Xenopus tropicalis: one gene and its partners. The protein of the gene in region 1 purifies or fractionates together with the protein of each later gene. This does not show direct contact. Links are inferred from orthologs where the notes say so. Each region holds a gene or a part of one and is shown on either strand. Other genes may lie near its edges.

What was found. The genes of interacting proteins can lie anywhere in the genome.
Region 2: the proteins of ptpdc1 (region 1) and ppp2r1b purify together in Homo sapiens (affinity purification with mass spectrometry; 3 studies listed by BioGRID and IntAct, counting the BioPlex papers as one, with this or other methods). This does not show direct contact. The link is inferred for Xenopus tropicalis from reciprocal best matches to the Homo sapiens genes PTPDC1 and PPP2R1B.
Region 3: the proteins of ptpdc1 (region 1) and mapk1 purify together in Homo sapiens (affinity purification with mass spectrometry; 3 studies listed by BioGRID and IntAct, with this or other methods). This does not show direct contact. The link is inferred for Xenopus tropicalis from reciprocal best matches to the Homo sapiens genes PTPDC1 and MAPK1.

What each region holds. Positions count from the first base shown.
Region 1 is NC_030680.2:152,393,069-152,400,049, forward strand, and holds the end of ptpdc1 (protein tyrosine phosphatase domain-containing protein 1), read left to right. Parts: intron 1-1,370; coding exon 1,371-2,560; intron 2,561-4,463; coding exon 4,464-4,643; intron 4,644-5,461; coding exon 5,462-5,572; intron 5,573-5,674; coding exon 5,675-5,761; 3' UTR 5,762-6,532; downstream 6,533-6,981. UniProt on the Homo sapiens protein: May play roles in cilia formation and/or maintenance.
Region 2 is NC_030683.2:84,346,285-84,354,259, forward strand, and holds part of ppp2r1b (serine/threonine-protein phosphatase 2A 65 kDa regulatory subunit A beta isoform), read right to left. Parts: intron 7,583-7,975; coding exon 7,482-7,582; intron 4,036-7,481; coding exon 3,803-4,035; intron 3,658-3,802; coding exon 3,510-3,657; intron 3,280-3,509; coding exon 3,124-3,279; intron 2,675-3,123; coding exon 2,560-2,674; intron 2,064-2,559; coding exon 1,993-2,063; intron 743-1,992; coding exon 608-742; intron 355-607; coding exon 181-354; intron 1-180. UniProt on the Homo sapiens protein: The PR65 subunit of protein phosphatase 2A serves as a scaffolding molecule to coordinate the assembly of the catalytic subunit and a variable regulatory B subunit.
Region 3 is NC_030677.2:154,030,139-154,038,113, reverse strand, and holds part of mapk1 (mitogen-activated protein kinase 1), read right to left. Parts: intron 4,907-7,975; coding exon 4,724-4,906; intron 4,585-4,723; coding exon 4,395-4,584; intron 3,865-4,394; coding exon 3,748-3,864; intron 2,782-3,747; coding exon 2,667-2,781; intron 1-2,666. UniProt on the Homo sapiens protein: Serine/threonine kinase which acts as an essential component of the MAP kinase signal transduction pathway. MAPK1/ERK2 and MAPK3/ERK1 are the 2 MAPKs which play an important role in the MAPK/ERK cascade.

The DNA of each region.
Region 1 (6,981 bases):
CTCTGTTATAAGCTAATAATTCTAATTTTTTAAAATAATTTCCTTTTTCTCTGTAATAATAAAACAGTACCTGTACTTGATCCCAACTAAGATATAATTACCCCTTATTGGGGGCAGAACAGCCCTATTGGGTTTATTTAATGGTTAAATGATTCCCTTTTCTCTGTAATAATAAAACAGTACCTGTACTTGATCCCAACTAAGATATAATTACCCCTTATTGGGGCAGAACAGCCCTATTGGGTTTATTTCATGGTTAAATGATTCCCTTTTCTCTGTAATAATAAAACAGTACCTGTACTTGATCCCAACTAAGATATAATTACCCCTTATTGGGGCAGAACAGCCCTATTGGGTTTATTTCATGGTTAAATGATTCCCTTTTCTCTGTAATAATAAAACAGTACCTGTACTTGATCCCAACTAAGATATAATTACCCCTTATTGGGGCAGAACAGCCCTATTGGGTTTATTTAATGGTTAAATGATTCCCTTTTCTCTGTAATAATAAAACAGTACCTGTACTTGATCCCAACTAAGATATAATTACCCCTTATTGGGGGCAGAACAGCCCTATTGGGTTTATTTCATGGTTAAATGATTCCCTTTTCTCTGTAATAATAAAACAGTACCTGTACTTGATCCCAACTAAGGATCCCCGGTGCTGTTCCACCGACTCCCAGGGACCAATGGCTGTTTGGCTCCCAGAGGCTGACCTGTTATCAGTAGTATAATGTTACTGAATATAAAGCCGCAGTAGTAGGAACCGGGGGTGCGTAGGTGTTTAGTCCCCTTACTTCCAGCTCCTATGGAATTTGCAGGATTCATGGGAGATGAGTAAGTTGTGACTCACGAATTAACAAATGTCTGAGTAATTATTGCAGCCCTGTGTCCTGCAGCTTGTCCCCAACTCACATACATCCTGGCGTCCATTCTGTGCCCCACAATGCACTGCTGCCCCTGCATCCATGCGCTTAATGCAGAACCCCAGTACCATGGAAACTATAGAAACGCAGATAAAGGACAACTGTGTACTTGGAAAGTAAATTAGGATTATTGTGTGCCCAGAACATTCCCTCTCTGTATATTTGTATTTATACATATGGGTAGGAGGTGCCATAGTGTTTCCCTTAGACAGTACAGTATGGGGGTACAGCTTATTGTGTGCCCAGAACATTCCTTCTCTGTATATTTGTATTTATACATATGGGTAGGAGGTGCCATAGTGTTTCCCTTAGACAGTACAGTATGGGGGTACAGCTTATTGTGTGCCCAGAACATTCCTTCTCTGTATATTTGTATTTATACATATGGGTAGGAGGTGCCATAGTGGTGCATCACCATTAATAAGACCCCCCCATCCCTTTCAGGTGTGCTGATCGCTTGCTATTTGATATTTGCCACCCGTATGACGGCAGACCAGGCCATCCTGTTGGTGCGTGCCAGGCGGCACAATGCCATCCAGACCCGGGTGCAGTTGCTGTGCATCAGAGAATTCTCCCAGTTCCTGGCTCCATTACACAACGTATTCGCCTGCTCGGACCCCAAGGCTCACGCCGTCACTCTGAACCAGTACTTAATCCGACAGCAGCACTTGCTCCATGGCTACGAAGCCCGCCATCTGAAATACGTGCCAAAAATGGTCCATCTGGTCTGTAAGTTGCTGCTGGACCTGGCAGAGAACAGGCAAGTGTTGGAGGAGGAGATTTTGGACGGACCGGACCTGACGGCAGAGATAGAGAAAGCAGTGTCCCAGCTCCCGGCGGTGCCGCTGGATACAGTGTTAGGGGGCGCCATGTCGGGGGCTGATCCATTAACCCTTTCCGTAAGCCCCACGGCCGGTTTAACCCTTCACGACTCAGTGTTATCCAGTGAGCAGGAATTCGATCCGCTGTGGAAGCGTCGGAATGTCGAGTTCCTCCAGCCCCTGTCCCACCTGAAGAAGCGGCTGAGCTACAGCGACTCGGACCTAAAGAAGGCGGAGCTGCTCCTGGAGCAGGGGGAGACCCCGTGGACCGAGCCGGCCCAGATGCCCTTTGTTGCGCACGTTTTGGTAAAGCATTGCTTTGTGCCCGGCGGTGACGACTCGGATCACCCTTCGCCTTTGCCTAAAAAACAGCCCCCGGCGCACAATACGTTTTCTTTTTGGACTCAAAGCAAACTGGGCACCCCTGAACCCCAAAGGGAAGGGTCCCCACTTTTCCTCAAAAGGAAGCCCCCCAGGGAGATGCAGAGGAGTCGCACCTTCTCATTGGGGTATTCCTGCTTGTTAAACAGCAACCAGACACCGCTACTGGCAAACGCAGAGCCCACCCTGCCCGCTGGCAATGACTGCCCCTGTGCCACGGGCCCCGAAACTGCCCACGACGCTGCCCCCAAAGCCACGTTTTATCTGGGGAATGGAACCCAAGAGGAGAGAGAGGCGTCTCCGTGCGTCCCCCATATTGTGCTGCAGTCGGAGACGAACCTCGAATCCCGGCGGCTGCAGGCGGCAAAAGCCCTTGCGCAACAACCGCCGGAAAGTGAGGATGAGATAGCGAAGAAAGTGGCAGTTTGGCAGGTAACGTTTCCATCTGATTCATTCAGGGACACCAACATACCAATGCCAGGAGATTGGCTCCACCCACGTTGTGCCAAACAGCTATAGGGCTACACCCTGATTTTAATAGTGCCCCTCATAAGAGGTGGGGCCAACAGCTTCCCAAAAACCTTATCACTTTACTTCTATGTCTCCTCCCCCTGCTCCTCTGTATCTTTGTGCCTCTCTAGCTCCTCCCCCTGCTCCTCTGTATCTCTGTGCCCTCTGGCTCCTCCCCCTGCTCCTCTGTATCTCTGTGCCCTCTGGCTCCTCCCCCTGCTCCTCTGTATCTCTGTGCCTCTCTAGCTCCTCCCCCTGCTCCTCTGTATCTCTGTGCCCTCTGGCTCCTCCCCCTGCTCCTCTGTATCTCTGTGCTCTTTGTGGCTCCTCCCCCTGCTCCTCTGTATCTCTGTGCCTCTCTAGCTCCTCCCCCTGCTCCTCTGTATCTCTGTGCCCTCTGGCTCCTCCCCCTGCTCCTCTGTATCTCTGTGCCCTCTGGCTCCTCCCCCTGCTCCTCTGTATCTCTGTGCCCTCTGGCTCCTCCCCCTGCTCCTCTGTATCTCTGTGCCTCTCTAGCTCCTCCCCCTGCTCCTCTGTATCTCTGTGCCCTCTGGCTCCTCCCCCTGCTCCTCTGTATCTCTGTGCCTCTCTAGCTCCTCCCCTGCTCCTCTGTATCTCTGTGCCCTCTGGCTCCTCCCCCTGCTCCTCTGTATCTCTGTGCCTCTCTAGCTCCTCCCCCTGCTCCTCTTTATCTCTGTGCCTCTCTAGCTCCTCCCCCTGCTCCTCTGTATCTCTGTGGCTCTCTGGCTTCTCCCCCTGCTCCTCTGTATCTCTGTGCTCTATGTGGCTCCACCCCCTGCTCCTCTGTATCTCTGTGCCTCTCTGGCTTCTCCCCCTGCTCCTCTGTATCTCTGTGCCCTCTGGCTCCTCCCCCTGCTCCTCTGTATCTCTGTGCTTCTCTGTCTCCTCCCTCTACTACTCTGTATCTCTGTGCTCTATGTGGCTCCACCCCCTGCTCCTCTGTATCTCTGTGCCCTCTGGCTCCTCCCCCTGCTCCTCTGTATCTCTGTGCCCTCTGGCTCCTCCCCCTGCTCCTCTGTATCTCTGTGCCTCTCTGGCTCCTCCCCCTGCTCCTCTGTATCTCTGTGCCCTCTGGCTCCTCCCCTGCTCCTCTGTATCTCTGTGCCTCTCTGGCTTCTCCCCCTGCTCCTCTGTATCTCTGTGCTCTATGTGGCTCCTCCCCCTGCTCCTCTGTATCTCTGTGCCTCTCTGGCTTCTCCCCCTGCTCCTCTGTATCTCTGTGCTCTATGTGGCTCCACCCCCTGCTCCTCTGTATTTCTGTGCCTCTCTGGCTTCTCCCCCTGCTCCTCTGTATCTCTGTGCTCTATGTGGCTCCACCCCCTGCTCCTCTGTATCTCTGTGCCTCTCTGGCTTCTCCCCCTGCTCCTCTGTATCTCTGTGCCCTCTGGCTCCTCCCCCTGCTCCTCTGTATCTCTGTGCTTCTCTGTCTCCTCCCTCTACTACTCTGTATCTCTGTGCTCTATGTGGCTCCACCCCCTGCTCCTCTGTATCTCTGTGCCCTCTGGCTCCTCCCCCTGCTCCTCTGTATCTCTGTGCCCTCTGGCTCCTCCCCCTGCTCCTCTGTATCTCTGTGCCCTCTGGCTCCTCCCCCTGCTCCTCTATATTTTTGTGCCCCCATGACTGGGACAGAGGGGGTGGTTGGGGCAGATTTGGCAGGATATAAGGAAGGGAGATCCCCTATTTATTGTAATGGAGACCAATAGTGGCTTAGGGGACATTTGGGTGGGGGGCAGTTGCACTAAATGGTTCCGGTACCGACCCGCCCGTGGGTTCCGTTACATTTGTGCATCTTTATGTTTATTAGAAAGAGTTAAACTCCCGGGAATCGGCCTGGGATAGAATCTGCTCGGAGAGAGACCCCTTGGTGCTGTGCGGCCTGATGTGGGCCTGGCTGGATCAGCTCAAAGAACCGGTCATCACAAAGGAGGATATTGACCTGCTAACGGGCTGTGACCCAAACACTGCCCTCTGCCTGCTGGAGAAGGTATTGCCACCACTTCCCCAAATATTCTGGGTTTTACCCTCTGCTGCATTTTATGGGGCAGTTGTGGCACCTTGTGGGTAGGGTTGGCACCTTTACTGCCCAGGGTGGGGGGGCTGCCTGTCATGTTGGGGTGCGGTTGTGATGTAAGGGGGGCAGGAAATAGAGAGCAAGGTGGGTTAGAAAGGGAGCGAGGGGGTGGGACAGGGCAGAGGGCAAGTTATTTCATACCAACAAGGTGGCAGCCCTACTTGTGGGGGGTTGTTTATATAATAAGCCCCACAAGGGGCAGTTACCTGGGGTTCTGAAGGCCCTGAGGGCTGTTGTTGTGCCACATTGTCCTGGAGCCCAAGGTCATAAGCATTTGGGTTTCTCACAGTCTTGAGAATGACCCCCCAGAATAGTATAAGGGCAGGACATGAGGGGGTAGTAAGGGCTGAACAACCCCAAATGCCCCAGGGCACCAAACTCCTTTACCCTGTGAGAAGCTTTATACCCAATACTTTCCATCTGTTCCTGTTTGGCCCAGACACCCCTGAAGCTTAAGCTCAGAAAAGGGTGGAGCTTAGTAGAAAGTAGGTGGGGTTTAGGTGCAGTAAAGTAGAATGGGGTTCTGGCTCCTTATGCTGAAAAGGGTGGAGCTTAGTAGAAAGTAGGTGGGGTTTAGGTGCAGTAAAGTAGAATGGGGTTCTGGCTCCTTATGCTGAAAAGGGTGGAGCTTAGTAGAAAGTAGGTGGGGTTTAGGTGCAGTAAAGTAGAAGGAGGGGGCAGATTTTTCCATCATCCCCCACTGACTTGCCCTTTGTTTATTGCTTCCCCAGAGCCAACACCAAACCCTCCTGTGTGTCCTGCACTGTGTGAGTCGCCTGCAGCCAATCCCTAACCAGTTACTGGGGGACCTACTGGCCAGGGCCGCCCGAGCTTTCACCAAGGTAATTGCCCCTCTATCAGCCCTTAGACTGTAAGCTCTGCGGGACAGGGACTGCCTTCCTTTCCAAAGTATATTGATGATAATTCTGCTTATTTCCCCCCAGGTGACGGCGGATTCCGAGGACGCCCCAGTTGTATATGGCACCCTCATTCCCATCTTCAGGGGCGCACTGTCCGACCTGCGCAAATAGGGGGCAAATAGGGGCGCACTGTCCGACCTGCGCAAATAGGGGGCAAATAGGGGCGCACTGTCCGACCTGCGCAAATAGGGGGCAAATAGGGGCGCACTGTCCGACCTGCGCAAATAGGGGGCAAATAGGGGCGCACTGTCCGACCTGCGCAAATAGGGGGCAAATAGGGGCGCACTGTCCGACCTGCGCAAATAGGGGGCAAATAGGGGCGCACTGTCCGACCTGCGCAAATAGGGGGCAAATAGGGGCGCACTGTCCGACCTGCGCAAATAGGGGCGCACTGTCCGACCTGCGCAAATAGGGGGCAAATAGGGGCGCACTGTCCGACCTGCGCAAATAGGGGGCAAATAGGGGCGCACTGTCCGACCTGCGCAAATAGGGGCGCACTGTCCGACCTGCGCAAATAGGGGGCAAACCCAACGCAGAATTCCCCATTTCCCCCCTTTTTGCCAGTTCCTATCTCTGCTCATTGGCAGTTCCCGTGGGTCGGCTCCGTGGTACAAAGGGCTCAATCTACTGTGTTCGGTTCCGTTACATGTCGTGTTGTGTATAATTGTGAGATATTGTCCCACATGTCCCCCCTCCCTGTGTATCCGGTGACTGGTTATTATTTGTATTTAACGATACCGGAAATACCGTCTTTATTTATTTTATGACAGAGGGGACAATGTGGCGCTGACCCGCTGCTTAATGTCCCAAATATTGCACTGTGACATTTTATTCTATTTGTATTGGCTGAATATCAGTCCGTTTGTACAGAGTCGGAACCTTTCTCTTGCAGAAAAACAGATTAAGCACCCCCCCCCCCCCATTCATTATATACTGTCGCCTCCTACAGGAGAATAGTGGGTATTACAGTCTGGAAAAGGCAGAAATAACAATTAGCCCCTTACAGGGAATATTTCCCCAAATAATAATTCTAAGCAACTCCCCAATATCCATTCATTCCTCATTCCCTTCTCTGCACTGCTGGTTCTGACTCCTGATACAACTCCCCAATACCCATTCATTCCTCATTCTCACTGGGTTTATAGTTATGTGTAACTGTCACTGTGTCTGTCCCTTTCCCTTCCCTGCACTGCTGGTTCTGACTCCTGATACAACTCCCCAATACCCATTCATTCCTCATTCTCACTGGGTTTATAGTTATGTGTAACTGTCACTGTGTCTGTCCCTTTCCCTTCCCTGCACTGCTGGTTCTGACTCCTGATACAACTCCC
Region 2 (7,975 bases), on another chromosome or scaffold:
CACTGTGGTTGGTACATAGTTTCTCCAGAAAGCAGAGGGTCTGTGCAAGTGAACAAAAAGGTTAACCCCAACCGGGCTGGCCGGATGATGTAAATAATATATCTTTCCTATATAGATTATCTTAAGGTTACAAATGATCTGTATATATACAGTTTGTGAAACTAAGAAGTGAAAACTTACCAGCTGACCAGCAAGTAATGGCATATACTCAATGATTGCCAGCCGCACTCTCCACTTTGTATCCTCAGCCAACTCTACTATAGCTGGAAGGAGGGACTGAGAAAGTTGGCGGATTCCAATCACTTCATTCACACAGTCCAAGTTAGATATAATATTTAGGCGCACTTCTGGGCACTAAAAAAGAGAAAGGATAATGAAAAAAAAAAAAAAAAAAAAAAAAAAAAAAATTTAAAAATGTACATTACATGGATAAACAATTTTGCCTAAAACTTCATCTTGGCTAATACACCAAAATAAATGCAGTTTATTAGTTACAATAAAGTATCCTAACTTATTGTCACACATGATCTCTAAACACAATGAAGGGAAGGGAAGTTTATATGGATCATTTTTCAATAAATTCATGAAGCAGTTTGCCCGACATTACCTCATCTTTTAATTGGGCCAGGAAGAGAGGCAGGAGGTGTTCAATTGTATTATCTTTGCCTAAAATTGTGGATAATCCCATGATTACAGAGGCCAAGGCAGATTTCACATGCTGGTTTGTGTCAGAAACCAATTCCTACAAAACATTACAAAGACTGTGGTAAAACAAAGAAAGGTGTTATTAAACATATAATTTACATGGATGATGAGAGGTACTGAGATGAAATAGTGCCAGAATGAAGCTCATAATAGGACACTGAGCTAGGCATAGTCAACTCTTTCTTGTAAAATGATAAACCAAGGCTTGTTCAAAGGAAAACGAAAAACTAAGTAAGCTTCATCAGAAAAGTCTATGTAAATACAGCCATAAGCACTCACAGATCAGTTTTCCTTTTTCAGAAAAACCCTTCATTCCAGGGCTGGAGTCTGCGCAGCTCTCTCCTGCTCCCCCTTCCCATAAGAATTCATTCCACCACCCATCAGAATGTGTGATCTGAGCTACCAGCAACTAGAGCTGCCCTTGGAAGCTACAGAGACTGAGCTAAAATGGCACCTGCTTTCTTAAGCAAACAGAGGTAGTTTCTAGATAGGTTTACTCAGGTATAGTAAAGCTTTCTGCAGATTAAATATAGCAATTCTAGTTTTCCCTAATGTGGCTAATCTATTGGTAGTAAAATGCCAAAATACCATTCCTTCTCTTTAAATGCATTAGCAGTCCTTGTTAAATGATAGCATCGTAGTACTGCCCTGCATGCCATGCCATAACAGAGCCTATGGCATCCTGGGCAATTCTTGAAGGGTGCTTAACCACCCTCCTGCCATAATACACAGCATAAAAATGCCTAAAACTGCCTTTGCCTTCCACATGGTTATTGGTTATAGATGTCAATTGCAAGAGAATTATTTTACACAGGCTTTTAACCTGGTGTTTTTACGTGACCTCCCCTTGACAATGCAGGGGGATGGTTTCGTTACCAGGTTGTAAGGCAAGAAAAAACACCAAATATCTGACATCACAGATCTTAAAACAGCCACCACCTGAAAAGCCTAAAAAACATAAGGCCAAAACATCTAGTAATGGCATATCAGGCTCTTGACAACTCTTCCTCAAGATGCCAGAGGCAAAAGTCTGCAAAAAACATCTGAGTATTAATATGGGCACCATTCTCTGAGGGGATGTTAAGGGCATCAGATTTCAACACAAAGAACTGATCCACTATAAGAACACCCTGTAAGCCGTGTGTAACGCAAGACTGCAGACATCAATCCAAATGAGCATTTAAACTCACTATGATTTGGATAAGCAGCGAAAAAGATCAGATAACAATGAAAACAACCCTTTAAAATGCAGCAAACTTCAGTCATCTTCATTTTGGCAAAACGTACCTTAACATAAGGTAAGATATGATTCATTATAATGGTCTCTCTTCCATCGGCTGGCAAATTTTCACAGAACTCTAAAACATAAAAGATTCTTATTAATAAAAAGAAAAAAAACACATTCCTAACTCATGGCTGATTCATGGTCAACTGAACACTTTGGTCCAATAATCACCACTTATAGGCATTCATCTATCTAGTTTTGCCTAAAAGCACTCATTCTATGAGAAGTTCTGTCAGAAATACAAAATACTGTTATGGCTATTTAAACAAAACTAGGTGAAGTGGTATATACAAGAGTAGATTATTTTGATAATATTTAAACAGCCATGTATCAACTTATTATCTTTAGTGGCTAAGCCAAAAAATCAGTGATTAATTACACTTCAATGCACCACTCGTGAGTTAAAACACGCAAGCCAAATGTCCAATGCTGCTAAATCATATGCATTCCCCTCTTGGCTCACAGAATTTCATTTGTACCAGATTTTGCCATAAAATACATTTGCAAATTAAAGTAAAATAAAAAGCAGAAGTAAAACATTATACTGCAGTTAATCCATATCCATTCACCTTTAACTTTATGAGCAGCAGCTGCCCGCACTTCAGCTTCGCAATCTTTGAGTAAGTTCTGAAAAGCTGGGACAAGGTCATTTTTAGTGATCTCTGGACCAACAGCTTTCTGGAGCTGAAAAGAGAACAGTTATGTTACCCATGTAGTCACTAAGATATCTGTTAAGTTAATCACTAAATCTTCCAGCAATGCAAACAGGAATGAAAGTTTTCTGGACAAAAGTTATGGAGCAGGCTTGCCTTAATTTCATATTGCAGTTCTAGTTACCTGAACTATGGCAGGATCGTTCTGAGCTATAGAGGGGCCTGACCAAATTGGGATGACAAAGGTTAATAAGAATCCAAGAAGTCTCAAATCAGTGACCTAAGTTTTATAAAAAGGGTAGCTAATCCTGACTCAATTTCAAATATTTAAAACTATTTATAATAAAAGTAGGGAAACAAGCCATGGAAGCTAAATGAAACATAAAAAATATATAAATATACCACCAATTAATAGCATTCCTGGGTAGTAAATGGCAAACTTAAAAATAAATGTAGGAATTGAGAGATAAATAGCCTTGCCTCAGAAAACTTGTCTGCAACCATGTAGCGGACACGCCACGATTTGTCCTCTGTGGCTTGACGTAAAGTTGGCATCACAAGTGCTTCCAGATCTTCTTCAGGCAGTAACTGAGCAATACTTACACATGCTTCCACTGCCAAGAGACGCACAGAGTCCTGTGCAATACAAAACAAAACATCTAGATTTTCCCCCAAAGCAAAACATAGGGTTTTTTTTGTTATTGATTAAACAGTAAATAGTCACCAGAACTACTACTGCCCCATGTATGTACACAATGTTTATATGCAATGAATAGCTAGCTATCGTCTACAATGGGGGACCTATTACAAGATAATTATTCTAAAAGAAAATATTTAAAATCAGCATTCTTGGACTTCCTGCTCACCTGTTCATCTGAAGCCAGATTGGTAAACAGTGGAATGAGATCATTCTTCACATACTCAAGCTCAAGGACTTTGGCAAACTCTCCTAGTTTGGATGCAGCTGCACGACGCACCATAGGAGTGTCATCTGAACACAGATTGCGAAAATGCCTATAAATTAAACAGAAAAATATATATATATATATATATATATATAATGGGGGGTGGGTAAGGAAGAGAGAAAAAGCAACATATACTTCAGGTTGCTGCTTAGAACTGCATTGCAAAACCAACATCCACTCAGCAGGATACTTACTGCCTTATTTCTGCTTTAACTGTACTAGACACCCTGGGATAACACACACTGAAAAGGCCACAAGCAGATGTACGAGAAGTGAACCAATCCCCACTGGCCAGACGTTTAACCAGTGGCACAAAGTGCGCTTCAAGATCAACAGGAGAATGTTCATTGGAGATCTTCCTTAAGGATTCCACTGCTTTGTCACGAACTACTGTTTCTTCAACAGTTGCCAGGCTTTCCAAAGGGGGCTATGCAGAAATAAAGTAAACAAATTTAAAAGAGCTTCAGCTAAAGAATGCCTTCTGGATACCCCAAAGCAATTCATATACTTCATTTACAGCACATTTTAATGTGTGTATATCATTCATTATGAGCATGTTAACTAAAACGTACAAATTGACAATGATTTGCAGTGAAGTCTTTAAAGGAATTAACTTTCAATATAATGTAAATAATTTGCAGCTGGTCTGTTTAAAGTGTATTTGTAAATATTAAATTTACTTTTTTGTTCTGCATCTCTCCAGTTTAGAATATTAGCAGTTAGATTGTATATGTCAAGTTTATATGGGGTACATTAACTCACAGCATGATAAACTGTATTGTTTGCCTCTTCTAGAGTACATTTTTGCAATTTTGTTACAAACATTTGTGGGAACTACCATACTGTTTACGCCAAAGTAAAAATTCTCAAAGGGCACCATATCTGTCTCCAAGCTCTTTGTTCCAGCAACTGGAGCTGGAAGGTTTAAGCAGAGTTTTCACAGCACTGAACAAGTATGTCCTATATCCCCATGTCTCATTACAGTCTAATATACTATGATGTAACGTTTTGCTTTTTTATAAGATAACAGCAAAATGACTGCTCATTACCAGCATTGGGTCATTCTTACTCGTGAATTGTCTTCTCTCTCTCTCTCTCTCTCTCTCTCAGTAGAATTCTCACTGGTGGGATTATTTTGAATATGAATTAAGCCGAATACTGGAGTGGGGGGGGGGGGGGGGGGGGCAGTACTCAATATAGCATGAGTTCTCAGTTTTGGAATTAAAGGACTTTTGAGCCCCTTTGCTAGAATGTGCACAAGACCCTATCACCGATTACCTTAAATTCAATAATGTAAGCTTAATGTGTGTATATTGCCACCTGGGCCTGCCTGTTTTATTCAAGTTTATGCAGCAACATCTGCTATCAACCCACATAAATTAGCTTTAACTGGGCTGGTGACGTGGAGAAAAATATTTAATGGCTGCCAAACTGAGCTCACAATTGGGAAAGGCGCCAAGGAAGCAGGGCCCCCCAGATGGCACCTAATGTCTCAGCAGCAGCAGCACTTGCAAGGCGATTGTTCCAGAAGGCAGAATAGGCTCACAAGAGATCTAAGATCCTGGCAGCTTTACTTGCTGACGCACAAAGTAGATTGGCAGGGAAGTGGGGAGCCAGATGCGACTTTGTAGCTGAAGCCAACAGAGGACAAAGCTCGTCTACAGAGCAACTTTTATGTACGTTTATGAAATTGATAACACATTGGGGTATAGCAGTATAAGTTCCATCTGTCTTTTTGTTTTACACACACATAAAATAGTATGAATCTGTGCAAACAGTTAGATAAAGTGGAGGCCTGTAGCATACAGGTGTTTTTATCAAAGCAAGCTCCTCCTCTCATCTGCACTCAAATGTGCAGGAAGTGCCCTACAGCAGTTAATGGAAATCAGATCATGTGGGCCACAGCTATTAAGAAATTTCTTTTCCCCAGGGAAAAGCCATCAATGAAAGTGCTACTAAACCTCACAGAAAATACCCATCAAATTGCTTTTGGGCACTTATACAATTTACCTTAATATGAAAATTAACAGTTTTACGATGTTAAAGGGGTGGTTCACCCTTACATTAATAATGTCCTACTCCTAGCAACTCTCCAACTGGTCTTCATTATTTTAAACCTGTAAATATTATCGCCTTCCTATTCTACATTTTTCCAGCTGTCAAATGGCGGTCACTGATCCAGACAGCCAAAAACCTTTCCCTCTCCTATTCATATTGCAGTCTCTCATTAAAACCACCCCCTGGTAAACAAGAACCTAGCAACCAGTTACTAAAATGTCAAACTAAGAGCTGCTGAACAAATAGCTAAATAAAATACAAATGAAAAAAAAAATGCAAATTGTCTCAGAATATCACTATCTGTGTCATACTAAAAGTTAATTTAGGAAGGACAACCCCATAATATATTAGTTTTTCTACAGAATCTCGGGTGTTGTGCTGGCCACTGAAAAGACTAGTGCAGGCCACTACTAGGTATCCAAATAGCATTTTAAAATTTGGCTCTACTAGGCTGTTAGTTGGCTCATTCCCACCCACACGTTTCTCCCACAGACTTACGGCTAACGGGATACGAGGTATTTGGATCAGGTAGAAAGCAGCAACCGTCAAAAAACGTTTCAAAAAGCCAGTCACTAATTTCCATAGTAATCTATGAGAAACAGTGCCTGAAGAACATGTAGCAATGACAGATCTGCTTAAAAATGCTCATGGAAGCTACTAAAGGTAGGGGACCTGTTATCCAGAATGCTAAGGACCTGGGGTTTTCTGGATTTCGGGAAATCGCTGCCCCTAGAGTACTTACAACACAATTCACAGGCTGCAAATGAAGACACAGATATTTCAACCCAATAGAACATTGAGGCAATGGGAGGAAAAAATACTAAGAAAAACGAACTGTCTGTTGTCATATGGTCTAAAGTCATGCGATTTTAACAGTTGAAAGTTGTTTTGATCAGGCACTGAGTTTCAGGCAAATGTCATGAAACAATTTGGGAATCAGCAGAAATTGATCTTGGGTGGATTGCAAAAAAAGACATATAAAAGGCATGAAATTCACCCTTGGAGGTACATTTCAGTGTCCATGATATATGTACAGGCAGCCTGCTACAATGAAGGGAAAATATACCTTAAAATGCTAACCTTGCATTTCACTATAAATGTTACACTAGAGACACTCTTCACAGCAAGCATTAGTGAACTACATACAGTATTTGTATAATGAATGCAAACAACCAAAAAAAGAATCAGGCCAAGTTTAAATGCTCATTTATTTTGCAGGCCAAAAAAATTTTGGACTCTAAAAGTAAACGGACTATTTAAATAGCAATCCAGAAACTCACAAAAAAAGTAATGCAATATATTTCTTGGGAATGATAGCTGCTTGAACAAACTTTACAAAGACAGATTATTCAAAAAGTCACTGTCCAAGTGGAATTTACAATCTAATTCCCCCTTACATTTAAACACTAGAGTCAATCTATATTACATATCTGGAGGTAATTAACCTGCCTGCCCATTTTATGGAATAAAGGAGGAAATTGTAAGAAGCGGGGGTAAGAACACAAACTATTTACTGGAGCTGATCATGCCAGTGGTTCTGCCTGATAAGTGGAGCAGCTGTCTTGACTGCGATCTACTTATTACAGTACACACTATATATGCACCATCACTTAAAGTAACAGGCAGTATGCATTCAAGACAGTTACTCTCCACGCAGGTGGTGTGTTTCTGCTACCTGTAAAAGGGGCCTAAATGCTACAAGCACGCATTTATTCCTTTTCAAGATTCACAGCTTCACAATTTCACAACAGCTCATGAATGTCCCTTTAGCAAATTAGTTTTAACAGATCGTAATCATGAAAAAAAAGTACTTACTAGAAGACAATGAACAAATTCTGAACCACCAACAAGGCTAGTGAAGCTTCCCAGTTGTTCTGCGAGTGCCAAAAGAACCTCATCTTCATCGTATATAGTATCTAGAATTAAAAGTACACATTAATACCAAACGAAAAGTTAAAAAAAAAAAAAAAAGCTATGAAGCAAAAGCAATGATTTTATGGCTCTACAGCAAAGTTTAATTATGTTTTTATTAAATGCCAAAGAAAAAAAGTCCTTGAACATCTGCAATATTATGCACCCTTATGGGGGTTGCACCCTGCCCAGCCATACATTCACCTATTTTTTATTTATTTTTTTTTGAATATCAATAATAACCATTTTCTGTGAAAGTACAACTGGCCCAGCAACAACTCAGTGCAGGGTAGCCACAAACTTCATATCAACTCCCACACAGCTCCTATTGTATTTACAATACCATTACAAGAAACCAGAAGCGGCATGGAATGACATCACTGGGAGGCGTGACATGA
Region 3 (7,975 bases), on another chromosome or scaffold:
CAGCAACCATGAAAATCATGTAAATTATATTCTTAGAAATGGTTGTTAGTAATGTAATCAGTTATAACAAGTGCTTACTAATGCAATTTGTGTCACGTGACTGCATGAAACATGATAAAATATACCCCTTCTTTAATATGAGGGTCAAGTCAGAGGTCCATGACCTAAATGACCTTTATCCTTGTGCCTTTATATGGTCATAGAACCCCTCGTTGCTTCTAATATATTATATTTATGAAAGCTAGACTCCTTTTAAGCTGGGTGCCAAAAAGTGGTCTGCAATACAATACTGTCCAATAAAGGTGGACCGCAATACAATATCAGTGTTGCTATAAATTTTACCAAGCAGGAGTCAGTGCCTATAATGATAACCTACTGCTGTTCTTTATGGTCTCATTGACCCTCGCAAGCAATGGAATAAATGGAACCATGTTTATATAGATTACGGATTGGGTTGGAGAAAAAAAGACAAAGACCAAAGTCCATCAAGTTGAACCCCTCTGCACATATATACACACACTTTATACCGATCTATGCACGTATATACGCACGTAGCTATAAACTATATAGCTGGAGCAGGAACAGACTGCCTGTGACATTGCAAAGCCCTGCCCACCCTATGCATATTCACTGCACTTTAAGTAGCTGCTGCTCTGTTACTGAAGTCTATCAGGGCCCCAGCCACATACTGAAGAGTCTAAACCGGAAGCTTGCAAAAGGACTGGGTAGAGCACAGTTTTCAAGCAGTTATGGGCATATTTGAACCAAAAGGTATTAAAATAAACGCACTTACTTCTATTTGACATTATTTTACATGGTTGAGTGCATTGTAAAAATGTATAGTATTTGTCCCCTTTAACAGAATCTGCCATCATAAATTCACTCAGCAGGGTATTCCACAACCGCACTGCCCTCGCCATGAAAAATTTCCTACTCTGTTCCAAAGTTCTGTTCCTCTAATCTAAAGAGGTAACCTCTGGTGCATATGAAAATCAGAACAATTATGAAATGACCACAGCATCTATTCTCATAAACAGAGGATTCCGAGCTGCCACCAAAAAGTTCTGGCAGCTTCTGCTGAACTAGGGAGTCAAAAGCATGTTGACTGAGAACCTACTCACCTACAGTTTAACAGCTAAGAAAGACTGCCCACTTTTTCTGGATTCTGGAAAGTAAACTGCCAAAAGGGTACTATGTCAAAAGCAATGCTATGTCCCATGTGAAGATCAGTACTGTCTCACGGCCAGCTGGTTTTGGTGCCTTCCTAATGAATCAAGCAAGCTGCCGTTGTGGCACATCCAAACCTAATCCACACACACACCTAGCTGGGGAAGGAGGTTCGCTGTACCAATGGCTGTTGCACTGCTTGGAATTCTAGAATATAGAAGTAGCTTCATTTGCTGAGGAGACCACAATGAATAAGGCACAACTAGGGCTAAAAACTCTCAACTTACATCACCTTTTTATACATACTGGGAACCTCTATCGGGGAGATTCTTTCCCGATATGCCTAACCGAGGTGACCGATATTGGGCTGAACCTAGGGCCAAATGATCAGACCATAATGACAGGAATACAAGCATTGGAGTGGTCGAATCAACAAGTCAATGAAGTCCTCGATTCAAACCTCCCCAATTTTCAGCAAGATATTGGCAGGGTAGGGCCATGTCGAAGGGCCTCATACACTGGCAGATAATTTGCCAAAATCAACCTGAAGGGCCCGAATCGGAAGCTTAAACCTGCCCATGTAGCCCATCTTAAGTCCTACATTCGAGCAAGAAGTGTGCAAGCCAGGCAGATGGCTTGCTCAGCAGAAGCTTAGGAGAAGCACGATGTGCGCCTGAGACAGGCATAGGAGAACAAGGTTAACAGATCAATAGATATTTGTCAAAATTGTTGTTCATAATGAGCATGTTTTACAAAGCATTAAATAATAATGAAACATAATTACTGTATCTCTAAATACTGAGTGCAGTAGTTAATTGTTTGCCTTTCTGTTAATATTATAGGAAGCCAACACCCTGGTTTCTAAACTTTTAAAGCTTGTACCTACAGTTCAGAGAAATTTGATAGGCTCTTCTTTCCCATCCACACAAATACACTTAAAGTGGACCTGTCACCCAGACATAAAAAGCTGTATAATAAAAGTCCTTTTCAAATTAAACATGAAACCAAAATTCATTTTTATATTAACACATTCAAACCCATTATAAATGCATTTAAAAATCCCAGCTGTCAATCATATACTTCTTGTCCTGCCTCTATGCCTCAGACATAGAGGTGGGGCAGACAGTTACTTAAACTTTCCATTCAGCATTCACATTCCCATACCTTCTCACCATCTAATTGTGTAGCCAGTGCATGGGCCTGGGCATCAGGTCCCCCATTCTGGCACATATACAAGATCTTGGGATGATACAAAGCTTGCCTTAACAGTGCCCATAAAATGGCAGCTGCCTGCTGGCTGTGATTGTATATTTCCAAGACTGAAGGAAACAAGATTTTTTATCATTTATATAGTATGTAAAGTTAAGTTTGCTTAACAAACACAAAAGAAAAGAAATTGGAATTATTTCTTAGGGTGACAGGTCCCCTTTAAGACACTAAGATACAGAAATAATAAATACAAATTTATATACTTAACAATAGATGACTTTAGACCTTACCAAGTATGTGATTGAGTTGGTCAAGATAATGTTTTCCAGGAAATATGGGTCTATTAGAAAGCATCTCAGCAAGAATGCAGCCAACAGACCAGATGTCAATCGATTTGGTATAGCCCTGAAAACAAGCAACGTTTTTTTAGTCACTAAACCACCGTGCTAACAGTGGTCTATAACAGTCTATAGCAGATTATTCTTTTTCATAAAGGTTATGTCATTTTTTTTTCATACACACTGAGATATAACATGTACGGTACATACCATAAACAATTCCTTTCTTCGTGCCTGAACTGAGAAACAACAAACAATACAGAAGAATGGCACTCACATAATTTGCTGAATCAGTCTTCCACGGATTTATTTGCTCAACATTTTGATCCCCCCACAGGGACCTTTGTCGGGAGTCAGACAGTGCAACCACAGTAGTGATAGAATTTGATTAGAGGGGCATTTTTCTGCATTGTTTACACCCCCCCCCCCCCCCAATAATTTGTTATTTTGTGCAAAAAGATACCAGCACTCACAGGATTTTGAGTTTACTGGTAGATCAAGGTTTTACATTTGGCAGGCTTTATTGTTCATCAATCTGGGCTGCCACAAATGAATAGAATGTGATGTGCAATATATTCAAGTCCAGTGCTGTCAGACATTTCTTATGAAAAGTATCTTAGTAATAAGTTGCAGAGATGACATGCCAACATTTGAATCTAACTTGTATCACTTATATACAGGTGTTTCTGAAACAATCTCAAAGGTGACCATGTTGTGATGACTGTTACCTAAATGGGAATTTTGCAGATGACATCCCACTGGCGATTTACATTCTCGCTGGAGGGATGGCATTTCGGGGAGATTTGTCGCGCGCAGACTAATCTCCCCGTCTGTCACACACCTTATGTTAATTTTAGAAGCAAAACAACCCCTTTATGTGCTCCATAATCTATAAAAATCTCTAATGTTTAATATAGAATTATAGAAATTTAAGTCTTAAATTAACTGTGAGGCCAAAGCATATTTACATTTTGAATTACAAGAAAATTACATGCACCTATCAGTCTATCTATACATGCAGTCATTTTTTTACCTTGGAATTCAGCATGATCTCAGGAGCTCTGTACCAGCGAGTGGCTACATATTCTGTGAGAAATCCAGTGTGATCATGGTCTGGGTCTGCAACACGAGCCAATCCAAAATCACAAATCTGGAAGATACAAAGTTCCAACTTATCACATTAATAGCGTACACATGAGTGTACCTATGAGTTTGTAGAAACATTTCGTATACTATAGAATAGTTAAAAAGCCTATATTTGCGCTTTTTTTTTTGTGATTCTGTAAGGGACCACCTGCCAGTCCCATGTAATGCAAAACTGGTTTACATTGGCTCCAGTACCAGTTCAGAAACAGGGCTTAGTGCCTAGCAATGGACACTGAACACACTAGTACAAGCCAAAGCCTCGGGGGGGGGGGAAGTACTATTGCCTTAGTTGCACAACTACCCAACAACTAGCAAAAACTTTAGCCCATGTTTAGAAGAGTCCTGATGCCTGCAGGGTTTAAGGAATAGGATGGAATCACTCATACGAGTAAGCTTGTAGTTGCACTCAAAAGGGTATTGAGGTTTAAGGGTAAGGACTGTGTTTTTTTTTTTTTTTTGTTTGTTTTTTTTGCATTACAGCTCTAAGTTCTCTTTAAAGGACATTAACTATTATAATTACCAATCTGCACTGACCTTAAGATCACAGGTAGTGTTAAGCAGCAAATTTGAAGGCTTAAGATCACGATGTAGAACATTGGCTGAATGGATGTACTTTAATCCTCTCAGGATCTGGTACAAGAAATAGCAGATGTGGTCATTGCTAAGATGCTGAGTCTTCAGGAGTTTATAGAGATCTGTCTCCATGAGATCCTGCACAATATACCTGGAATGTTTAATGTAAGGCAACAATGATGGAGTGTGAAAAATTAAAGAAAGAAAAACTGAAAGAAACAAATCACATTTTTCTCTGAAATCTACTTTTGAAAAGAAAAACAGATAAACAATTTTAACAGCAAGGATACACATCTTTCATTTGCTCAATGGTTGGAGCTCGAATTATGTCATTAATTCCAATGATGTTTTCATGCTTAAAACGCAGCAAGATTTTGATCTCCCTCAGTGTTCTCTGGCAGTATGTCTGATGCTCAAATGGGCTGATTTTCTTGATAGCAACTCGTACTTTGTTTACATTGTCATAGGCAGAACTGAAATACAAAGCAAGCACAATTAATTATTGGCCACTGTTTCTACCATACATTATAAGTCAAGCTATACAGCATTAGATATCCCACAAACTCTGTAATAGTTATTTTTTTTTTTTTATTTCCAATGAATTTTGGCATTTTTATTTGGAAAACGTCTTTGCTAAAGGCAATCTATTTGTGCAACAGTTCGTTATAAAAAGCACCTACAGTAAGTACTAAAATGAAACATAAGAGATGCTCCATAATATGTGTATGAAAAACATGGAAACTTTATATTTGGCTAAAATAAAATATTTACCAAATCAAAAATGTAATTATGCAACGAAATGTTGTGCGGTAAACAATCCTATCGCTCATGAATGCCCTGAAACTCATAACGGCAGTGGAAAAATACATTTCTATTGCTGCTTTAGATCTGCGATTTTGAAGCTGCTACAAATGATACCCTTTAAACCCGTTATGGGGTTACACAGCAAATACTTAGCAGCCGATTTACAAAAAGATGATCTGGGGAATCCTGAAGAATGCTTAGTAGATCAAATATTATAACAAATTTTGATCCCTGGATGATAATGATAACAGTTGCCACAGGCAAAAGCATAAGAATAGAATGTGTCTGCATGAGGGGCAGTGCACCATGGCTGCCTCTTTCCTCTCTGACAGCAACATAGTGCCTAAATGTTAACGGGATTCTGTCATGATTTTTATGGTGTATTTATTTTTAAATTACATTCACTGCCATCTTAGTGCATTGTGCCCGAGTCTAAGCTTTCAGAAGGAGCCAGCACTACACATTAGAACTGCTTTCAGATAACCTATTGTTTCTATTACTCCCATGTAACTGGAGGAGTCTCTTTTATTTACTACAGGCATGGGACCTGTTAGGCAGAACTTGGGACCTGGGGTTTTACAAATTATGAATCTTTCTGTAATTTGGATCTCCATACCTTAAGTCTACTAAAGAAATTTTTTTAAAAAAAAGTGTGCATTAAACAGCCAGAGGCATGTTGTGAACAGTAGTCTGAAAAGTTTTTTCAAAGCAGTGAATCTGCATGACAGTGCGCTCCTCTTCATTTACAGGTATGGGACCCATTATCCACAATGCTTGGGACTTGGTGTTTTCCGGATAAGGGGTCTTTGATTAATTCTGATCTCCTACCTTAAGTCTGCTAATAAATTTAAACAGTAATTAAACCCAATTATTGGCTCCAATAAGGACTAATTATATCTTAGTTGAGAACAAGAACAAGGTACTGTTATTACAGAGAAAAAGGAAATCATTTTTAAAAATGTGAATTATTTGATTAAAATGGAGTCTATGGCCTTTCCATAATTCAGAACTTTCTGGATAACGTGTTTCCGGGTTAATGAATCCCATACCTGTACTGAGTGCTATTCTGATATCTACCACTATTAAAATATAAAATAAAGAACATGGCTAGCCTCATGTGAAATTTCAAAATTAAATATTAAAAAAAGGGTTTGTGTTTTTGTAAAATGGATTTCAATGCAGGATTCTGCAGGAGAAGCTCTATTTTTGCATTTTGGGAAAAAAACAAAACATGTTTTCCCATGACATGGGTATAGCACGTATCATCTGGAATGCTTGGACCTTGGGTTTCCCCAGACATGGGATATCTTTCTAAGAATATATATATTCTGGAAAATAGCTTGTGTGTATATCAGATTTTTCTAGATAACAGGTTTCTGCATTAAATCTCATAACTGTATAGGCTATATATTCTGCAGAAAGAATTCTATCTATCTTAACCTTTACTGGTATTTTATGCAAGAGTTCACACACATGTCCCTATACAAAAGCAAAAGTCAAATATTATCAAGTCAGATGGAACAGTGTCCTCAGTAGCCAAATTACCACACAATTTGATAAAATGCTCAGGGATGTCAGCATTATGGGGACAGTGATACAGTAACCACAATATCATAAAAGATCTATGGCAATGTACCAGTCTTTTATTTTAAGCCATTTGTATCAAAGTTTTAGTAATTCAAATGACCAACTTGCATTTGTAAGGCAAATATATTTTACACATTTTATTGCATTTCACAGGCAAATAGCAACAGCAAATTAATTTATATAACCATCAGGTAACCAGACATTGTTAATGTTAATTCCTACAAGGGGCCCTATTTCACTGAAATCTAACATTTATGTAAGCATATATCTAAACATTGGCAGTTAAAAAAAACACTTGCTAAATGCTATACCTCTGTTTCTTACTAAACACATTTTATTGATTTTGCCAGTAAATCAAATATACTTAGAGTTAAGAAGGGAAAAAACTCCTATTTCCATAAATATCACTAGTTTTTTTTAAATTCTATTCTCCCACTTTCTTGACGTGATGGGAGTTAAAATTGCCATAGCAACAAAGCTGTACTTCTTTGTATAAATCAACAGTAAATTGTGCCTTTTCTAATAAAGAGCTTTAGAAAATATTCATAAACAGTTCATTAGAAACCCTCAAAGGTATAGCTGCTTGGTAGCTTACATATTAAAAACAGGCAAATTATTTGTGCTTATACAAGAGAATAAGCACAAATACCATTTTTATTTAAAATGTGGATCAAAAACTGGTTTCACTTAAAATCAATTGAATTTACCCCAAAACACCCTTTTTCCTAGAATACCATTTCTTTTTCAAAAATGACTATTTATGGCAGTACAGCTGACCCAGCACAACCCAAGATTCACTGCACCATACTAAAATATATCTGAGGTGTCCCTTGTCAGACTTGCAGATGTGCAGTAGTATAAAGTTTCACACTCAGCTCAGGGGGAAAAAAAGTTTCCTTTAGAAGCCAATACTGTCCCCCCCCCCCAAAAAAAATAAACCTTAATTAAAAGCATGTTACAAGCCACTTACAAATTAGTACTTCAATTGATAAACTGCTACAAAGCTTTTTCAATGGAAAAAAAAAATAACTGCCCAGCATTGTTACAGAAAAATAATCTGCAATAAAGGTTACAATGTCTCAAGAAGAAAAAAACACATTAAACCTACTTTTCCCCTTGTATCTTTGTTTGAGCAATGGGGGATGATTTTA